2 linked regions of the Canis lupus familiaris genome follow. The main gene of each other region encodes a partner of the protein of the gene in region 2 in a complex. Links are inferred from orthologs where the notes say so. Each region holds a gene or a part of one and is shown on either strand. Other genes may lie near its edges.

Region 1 (4,136 bases), on a different chromosome or scaffold from region 2:
TGGCTCAGGTCATGATCCCTGGGGCCTGGGATGGAGTCTCACATCCAGCTCCCCATAGGGAGCCCGCCTCTCCCTCTGCCTATGTCTCTGCCTCTCTCTCTCTCTCTCTCTCTCTCTGTCTTTCACAAATAAATGGATAAAATCTCAAAAAAAACCCATCACTACCCATCACTAGCAGAATGACTCTAAGCAGTGCACTTGGTTTCTCAGCTCCCCCTCCTCGTCTGTGAAATGTTGAAAGGACCTGAACTTGTTTTATATATACTGTATTACTGGGCCAATATGATAATCTATCAGGAACAATTAACACCAGAAATGAGAATATAACGATAATATGGAGTTAAAAACTTTTATGTCTGAGTCCTACAAACGTAAATATAAAACCCTACTGCAGGGGTGCCTAGCTGGCTCTGTCAGTATAGCATGGGACTTTTGATCTCAGGGTCCTGAGTTCAAGCCCCAGCTGGGGCATAGGGCTTACTTTAAATAAACAAACAAATTTCTATATATAATAAAATGAGGCTGACAATAACATTTTTAAAAACCTATTGCATTTACTAGCTGTGTAATGTAAAGCAAGTTTCATCATCTTCATCTTTTGTTTTAACTTCTCAGGAAATTTTTCAAACATGCTCAAAATAGACTAATTAAAATGCTATGTTAATCATTCTAATTGATTTTCAACATTTTTCTTTTTTTTTTTTAATTTTTATTTATTTATGATAGTCACACAGAGAGAGAAAGAGAGAGGCAGAGACATAGGCAGAGGGAGAAGCAGGCTCCATGCACCGGGAGCCTGACGTGGGATTCGATCCGGGGTCTCCAGGATCGCGCCCTGGGCCAAAGGCAGGCGCCAAACCGCTGCGCCACCCAGGGATCCCAATTTTCAACATTTTTCTAATATCCTTTCCTCTCCCTTCCTCAACACTCCCCCCCCCCCCCCCCGCCAAGGTATTTTAAAGTATATTTGGGCAAGTTGTTTTAAAGCTGTCTGTGCTTCAATTTTCTCACCCAGGAAATGGAGGTTTTGATACCTAACTCACGGCGTAGAACCGTAGCTATTATGAAGTACGGCGGTGTCTTCGGGCACCGCCCGCTCGGAGGTGTAAAAGCACTCTGCGGCGTACAGCGCCCGGCTCAGGACACAGGTTACTGCACAGCCCGGAGGACCCGGCGTCGCGCGTGACTGAGAGACTACGACCGCCCTCTTCAGGCAGCTCCCTGCAGAACCTCTCAGGCAGGAAGAGGATTGTCCCTCGCAGGCCCCCGTCGCCGCGCGCGAACACGAGGGGCGGGAACAGGAAATGGGGTGGGGCCGAGTTCCGGGCGCCCGGCAGCCTCTGAGGAGAGCAGAGCGTGGCCGCCGCAAGGCTGAGAAGCAGAGCCGTGATGTTCCGCATCGAGGGCCTTGCGCCGAAGCTGGACCCGGAGGAGATGAAACGGAAGATGCGCGAGGATGTGATCTCGTCCATACGGAACTTTCTTATCTACGTGGCCCTGCTGCGAGTCAGTGAGTGTCCTTCCCGGGCTGCGGCCGCGAGACCCGCGGGGAGCTCGCGGACTTGGCCCGCCCGACTCTGGTCCTGGGGTTCTGTGGCGGCCCGCGAGCTGAGCGGTCGCGGGGGGGGTAGGACATGTGTGTCGAGGAGAGCGGGCGCAGGCGCAGCTGGGGGTCTGCGGGTCGGGGTCCGGGTACAGAAGTGCCTGCGGCGGCTCGGGCTGCGAGGGTAGTCCCGCCTCGCCCTGCCTTAAGAGCGTTTGAATGGAAAGAGCCTCGAGGGTTACTACCTCCGCCTCGCAGCAGCTCCCGTTTTGCCGACAGAAACGGGGAGCTCGAATGGAGAAATGGCTGGCTCAAGGTCACTCAGAGATCCAGTGAACGATCTTGCTCTAGAATCCACAGTTCTTAATACCACGTTTCCTTCCTTCAGTGCTGACCTCTGAGATACAAAAAAAAATATTGCTTATTTGTACAGAGGGTGAGGTAAATAATTGCTTTTTTTCTTTCTTTCTTTTTTTTTTTTTGGAAGAAATGAGAAGGAAAGGGTATGAGTCTATATGGTTAATAATAATAATACCTGAAGGTTTATTTGAATTTACGTTTGGCCGAAGCATATTTTTGCGTTGTCTGGTCTTGACAGTAGTGCTTTGAGGGGAGACGAGGCTTAAGGTGCTGTATATCCCGCTTGCAAATGAGAACTCACCTTTCAGAGGGTCTTAACACAAAATGTCAGCGCTAAAGGCACACTAGATATTAGAGCTGGGTGCACCTCTGTAGGTCACGTCTCTAGCTTTGCTGATAGGAATCTCAGAAGTGATTTGCACCCCACCCCCCAATTCTCACTTCACCTTTCTTTTCATTGCACCTTGTTGTGTTTTGCGAATATGTCTGGTGGAGAGGCAGAAGTGATTCAAATAAATAAAGGCCATACCGAGGTCATCCTGTAGAAGGCTCCTGTTGGGCCTAGGCCAGAGCTCACTGAAGCTTGGTACCCCATCACTGACTATGGTATTACCTTGTTTCCCCAGGAGAGGGAGCCCTGCTGAACAGAAACCCAAATCTTCAGCTTTTTTTTTTTTTTTTTGCAACTCCCAACTTATTTTTCTCTTCTTACCTTTTTTGTTGACTTAGCTGCCAGTAAAACATTTGCTTCTTTTCAGTGACCTTTGTATCTGATATGAATTAGTTTTCTTAGAAAAAAAAATAGAGAATACTGTTTCACATTACCACTTTTTATTTTATTTTTTAAAATATTGGGGATCCCTGGGTGGCGCAGCGGTTTAGCGCCTGCCTTTGGCCCAGGGCGCGATCCTGGAGACCCGGGATCGAATCCCACGTCGGGCTCCCGTTGCATGGAGCCTGCTTCTCCCTCTGCCTATGTCTCTGCCTCTCTCTCTCTCTCTCTCTCTCTGTGTGTGTGTGACTATCATAAGTAAATAAAATTTAAAAAAATAAAATATTTTATTTATTTATTCATGAGAGACACACAGAGAGAGAGAGAGGCAGAGACACAGGCAGAGGGAGAAGCAGGCTCCATGCAGGGAGCATGACGTGGGACTTGATCCTGGGTTTCCAGGATCAAACCCTGGACTGAAGGCAGCGCTAAACTGCTGAGCCAACTTACCGCTTTTTAAAAGAAGATATAATGGGTATACAGTTGACCCATTTAAAGTGTGCAGTTCAACCTAAGGGTCTATCCATAAACGGACAAAGAAGATGTGGTGTGTATATACAGAGGAATATTACTTAGATATAAAAATCTTCCCATTTGCAACAACATGGATGGACCTATAGGCTATCATGCTGTGTAAAATAAGTCAGAGAAAGATAAATATCATATGATTCCACTTATATGTGGAATCTTCAGAAACAGACTGATAAACACAGACAACAGACTGGTGATTGCCAGTAGGGAGTAGAGTGGGAGATAGACAAAATAGGGGAAGGAGCTTAAAAGCTATAGACTTAAAGTTACAAAAAAACAAGTCACTGGTGTACGGTATAGAGATAACATAGACAATACTGTAGTAACTTTATGTGATAACTAGACTTATTGTGGGGATCATTTCATAATATATAAGAAATTGAATCACTGTGACATACACCTGAAACTAACAGGGTACTGTGTGTTGATTATATTTTATTTATTTATTTTTAGTTTTAGGGTTTTTTTATATTTTATTTAAAAAGAGAAAATTTTTGGATCCCTGCGTGGCTCAGCAGTTTAGCGCCTGCCTTTGGCCCAGGGCATGATCCTGGAGTCCCGGGATTGAGTCCCACATCAGGCTCCCTGCATGGACCCTGCTTCTCCCTCTGTGTCTCTGCCTCTCTCTCTCTCTCTCTCTCTCTCTCTCTCTCTTTCTCTGTCTCTCATGAATAAATAAAATCCTTTTAAAAGAAAGAAAGAAAGAGAAAGAAAGAAAGAAAGAAAGAAAGAAAGAAAGAAAGAAAGAAAGAAAGAAAGAAAGAAAGAATTTAAAAACAAAGGGTATAATTTAGTGGTTCTTAGCATAGTCAGGGTTGTGCAACCATCACCACAATCCATTTTAGAACATTTTCTTTACCTCTAAAGGGGATACCATGCCCATTAGCTGTCATTCCCCCATTTTCTCCCTTCCCTTTCCCTTGGCAACCA
Region 2 (3,558 bases):
TGAGCGAGACATGCATAGACTCAGATATGACCAGACAGCGTTAAGGAACTGAGGTTGACTTTATGAGCCAGTGAAGCCCCTTGGAAAAAATCAGCCTAGGACCTTACTTACAGGGTACCCAGCAGCCTTACTGGGTGAATAAAGAGGTCACTTCCTGGCAGGTGCGGGAACCTCAGGATATTTGGGGGACCTCATGAAGAGAGGAATTTATTCATATCTGCAATACCTGCAGGCAAAGTCTGATGGCAACTATTTGGCTTGGCTTCTTAGCCTTGAGGATCTATTAAAAGTTCAGTCTGAAATTCCTTATGAGAAGTTCCAGCAAAGCAGATTTTCTGTTTAAAAATAAAGCAAACCTTATATAGCCAGTCACTATTCTTGCAGCGCTTATGTAAATAATTAGGCCAAGATTGTTAGAACCGAAGTCTTGATTTGGCTATCCTTGGTGGAAATGAGGGTGATTTTAGAGAGAAAAATCACACATTTGTGAATAGTAGATTCACTGTCTTTGGGTGTTTGTTGTTTGCCTCTAAAACCGGGCTGGATCCTAAATTCTGGTTTCTTCCAGTATGTGGCTATGATTCTCCAAACTGTGGTTTCCAATTTTCTCCATTCCCTAAAACTGCTCTTTCTCCGGAAGCCTTGCAGACTGAAGCTAGACAATCTGAGGTAGCCTGCAGATATCTTAGAATTATTAGAGCTGCTTTGGAACCCAGGGAGGTAGCTGTTGTCCGCAGCCAAGGACACCAGAAATGGGGCTGCTTGATTGCCCAAAGGAACAATCAGATCAAGCTGCCAGGCTGGCAGCCCACACAAAGACTCCAAAACCCTTTGTAGTGGCTTTAGTAGCAGATGAGTCATAGACTAAACCAAACATCAATCCTAGTATTCCTCTGAAGACCTGAGGAGAGCTGCCATCCACAGCTCTCGAGAACCATCTAGTAGCTGCCTGCCAAGGCCCTTGCACAAAGAGCTGTCTCTGTAATCAGAAGCCTCCAAGGTTGTGCAGGGAGCTTGACAGGCGAGGTGTGCTGGCTGCAAAGTTTAGAAGTTTTGACCTATTAACCAATGCAGTGTTCTGTGTTCAGCTGTCTCTGATTTCAATGCAGGTACAGAGTTTGAGAAAAAATTATTCTGAATAAAGGGAGAGAAAGGAGGTAGGATCGCCTAAGCCCAGGATGAGCAGTAAAACCCAGTTTGGTTTGTGTTTTTATTAGCTCTTGAGCTTGTCAGTGAAGACCTTGCCTGGCTCTACCTCTCCCTCCCCCACTAGGCATCCTGCTCATTGTGCATATTTTCTTCCACACAGGCAATTTTCACCCAGAAAAACAAGCTGCTTCCTGACCCTTTGGACACTAGACGCTGGCAGGGCTTCCGGCTGGAGGAGTATCTGATAGGGCAGTCCATTGGCAAGGGTTGCAGTGCTGCTGTGTATGAAGCCACCATGCCTGTGTTGCCCCAGAACCGGGAGGTGGTGAAGAGCATCAGACCTCTTCCAGGCCGAGGCCCAGATGTCGATGCACGAGAAGAGGAGCCAGCTTCACAGGCCCCTACCTTTCCCTTAGCCATCAAGATGATGTGGAATATCTCGGTGAGGAGGGGGCCTTTCATCTTGGAATTAGGCATTTCTTAAAACACTAGGGGCACCTGGGGGCTCATTTGGTTAAGCATCTGCCTTCAGCTCAGGTTGTGATCTCGGGGTCCTGGGATGAAAACCCACATGAGCTCCCTGCTCAGCGGAGAGCCTGCTTCTCCCTCTGCTCCTCACCCCGCTCATGCTCTCTCTCTCTCAAATAAATAAATAAGATCTTTATTAAAAAAAAAAAAAAAAAAGCCCCTTGGGATGCCTGGGTGGCTCACCGGTTGAGCGTCTGCCTTCAGCTCAGGTCGTGGTCCTGGGATGAGTCCCACGTCGGGCTCCCTGCACGGAGCCTGCTTCTCCCTCTGCCTGTGTCTCTGCCTCTCTGTGTGTATCTCTCATGAATAAATAAAATCTTAAAAAAAAAAAAAAAGCCCCAATGTTGGTGGACCTGCTAGTGCTTTTTCCCAGGAGGCAGATGGGCTCTTGTATGGTTAGGCTTCCTCGCCCGCTCACACAGGAGTCTCAGGTCGTGATAGGCTGCCAGTCACCTGAGGATCTGGTTAAAAGGCGGATTCCAGTCCTCCGGCCTGGGGTGGGGGCTGGGTCTCTGCCTTTCTGATCAGCTCCCAGGCAATGCCTCTGCTTCTGGTCTGGTCCACACACATCACAGCAGGTTTCTCGTGTGGGTGCTGACCCACCTAGCTGGATTCAGGTGTGCGGTTCCCACCATCCTCCCTCTTTCTCCTGACCTGCCTCCCTGGAGAGGAGGGCCTGGAGAGGAGGGCCTCCTGTCCTCCAGACTCACTCTTCAAGCTCCCCTCCAGATGAAAGGCTTGCTTGTCATCTCCCAGCTTTCCCCTCTGGGAGGACTCAAGGCTTAGGGAAATTGAATATTTTTCTCCACAAAAACAAAGAGTTCGTCTAGAGTAATTTCTTTCCCTTCTCACTATGTAGGTGGGTTTATTATTTTTTTATTTTTTATTTTTATTTTATTTTTTTATTTTTTTAAAGTTTTTTTTTTATTTTTTAAAGATTTATTTATTTATTATGATAGAGAGAGAGAGGGGCAGAGACACAGGAGGAGGGAGAAGCAGGCTCCATGCTGGGAGCCTGACGTGGGACTCGATCCCAGGACTCGATCCCGGGACTCCAGGATCGCACCCTGGGCCAAAGGCAGGCGCCAAACCGCTGAGCCACCCAGGGATGCCCTGTAGGTGGGTTTAGAAAATTAAGACCAGATGTTCCTTCACCTGCCCAGAGCATCCGCCCAAGTCTAAGGTGGGGCACAGCCGTGGCAGCTCATGTTGGACGCTGAAGAATACAGTTTCTGGTTTTGATCTCGGGGATGAAGGTTATTGGACTGTTGCCCTTCCACGCTGGGTTACTAGCTACCAAGTAGCCAAGGCCTTTGCCTGTGAACCACCCAGTGTTAGCATCAAAACTTCCTGATGGGCGTGACAACTTTTACACTTGTGAAAGCTAAATGACTTGACTCCTAGAGGGTTCCTAATAGGTTCCATAGGACCTGAGAGCCATTTGTAATGAAACAAGGAAAGGAGGGTGCCTGTCCTCGTCTTTGGTTCTTGCTGTTGTTTCTTTTTACGGGGAGGCTGGGGAAGGTCATCCTGAGATTCAACACAACTTATCCAGGGTAGATTTGTCCTGCTTTGCCGTCTGCTGCAGGCAGCCTGCAAGGGGGAGTCTTAGTGACCCAGGGCCAGTAGCATCGATGGCAGGAAGAAAGGTCCCTCACCCTAACTTGCCATCTCTTCTTCCCTGGGCCCCTGAGCTGCCAAGTTTGAGGTGTGGTGTTGAAGCCCTGTAGGGGTTGGCACGGATAACATCTCCACCCCCTCTCTCCTAGGAGAGACTAGCTTGGCTTGCTGCTGCAGAGAGTTTTTTTTTTTTTTCCTTTTTAAAAGATTTTATTCATTATTTGAAAGAGCATGAGCTCTGAGGGGGAGGGGCAGTGAGAG

What was found.
Region 1: the proteins of PINK1 (region 2) and TOMM5 are in contact, whole or in part, in a cryo-EM structure (PDB 9EII), measured with the Homo sapiens proteins. The link is inferred for Canis lupus familiaris from reciprocal best matches to the Homo sapiens genes PINK1 and TOMM5. Residues at the interface, in NP_115785.1 of Homo sapiens: Gln484, Ala488, Gln491, Ser495, Lys496, Pro498, Val502, Lys520, Leu522, Lys523, Leu524, Met527, Glu565, Cys568, Gln569, Ala571, Leu572, Leu573, Cys575, Ser576, Trp577, Ala579, Ala580; in NP_001001790.1 of Homo sapiens: Met1, Phe2, Arg3, Ile4, Gly6, Leu7, Ala8, Lys10, Leu11, Asp12, Pro13, Glu14, Met16, Lys17, Arg18.

Annotation. Positions count from the first base shown.
Region 1 is NC_049232.1:54,231,889-54,236,024, reverse strand, and holds the start of TOMM5 (mitochondrial import receptor subunit TOM5 homolog), read left to right. Parts: upstream 1-1,308; 5' UTR 1,309-1,389; coding exon 1,390-1,510; intron 1,511-4,136.
Region 2 is NC_049223.1:77,685,251-77,688,808, reverse strand, and holds part of PINK1 (serine/threonine-protein kinase PINK1, mitochondrial), read left to right. Parts: intron 1-1,309; coding exon 1,310-1,591; intron 1,592-3,558. UniProt on the Homo sapiens protein: Serine/threonine-protein kinase which acts as a sensor of mitochondrial damage and protects against mitochondrial dysfunction during cellular stress.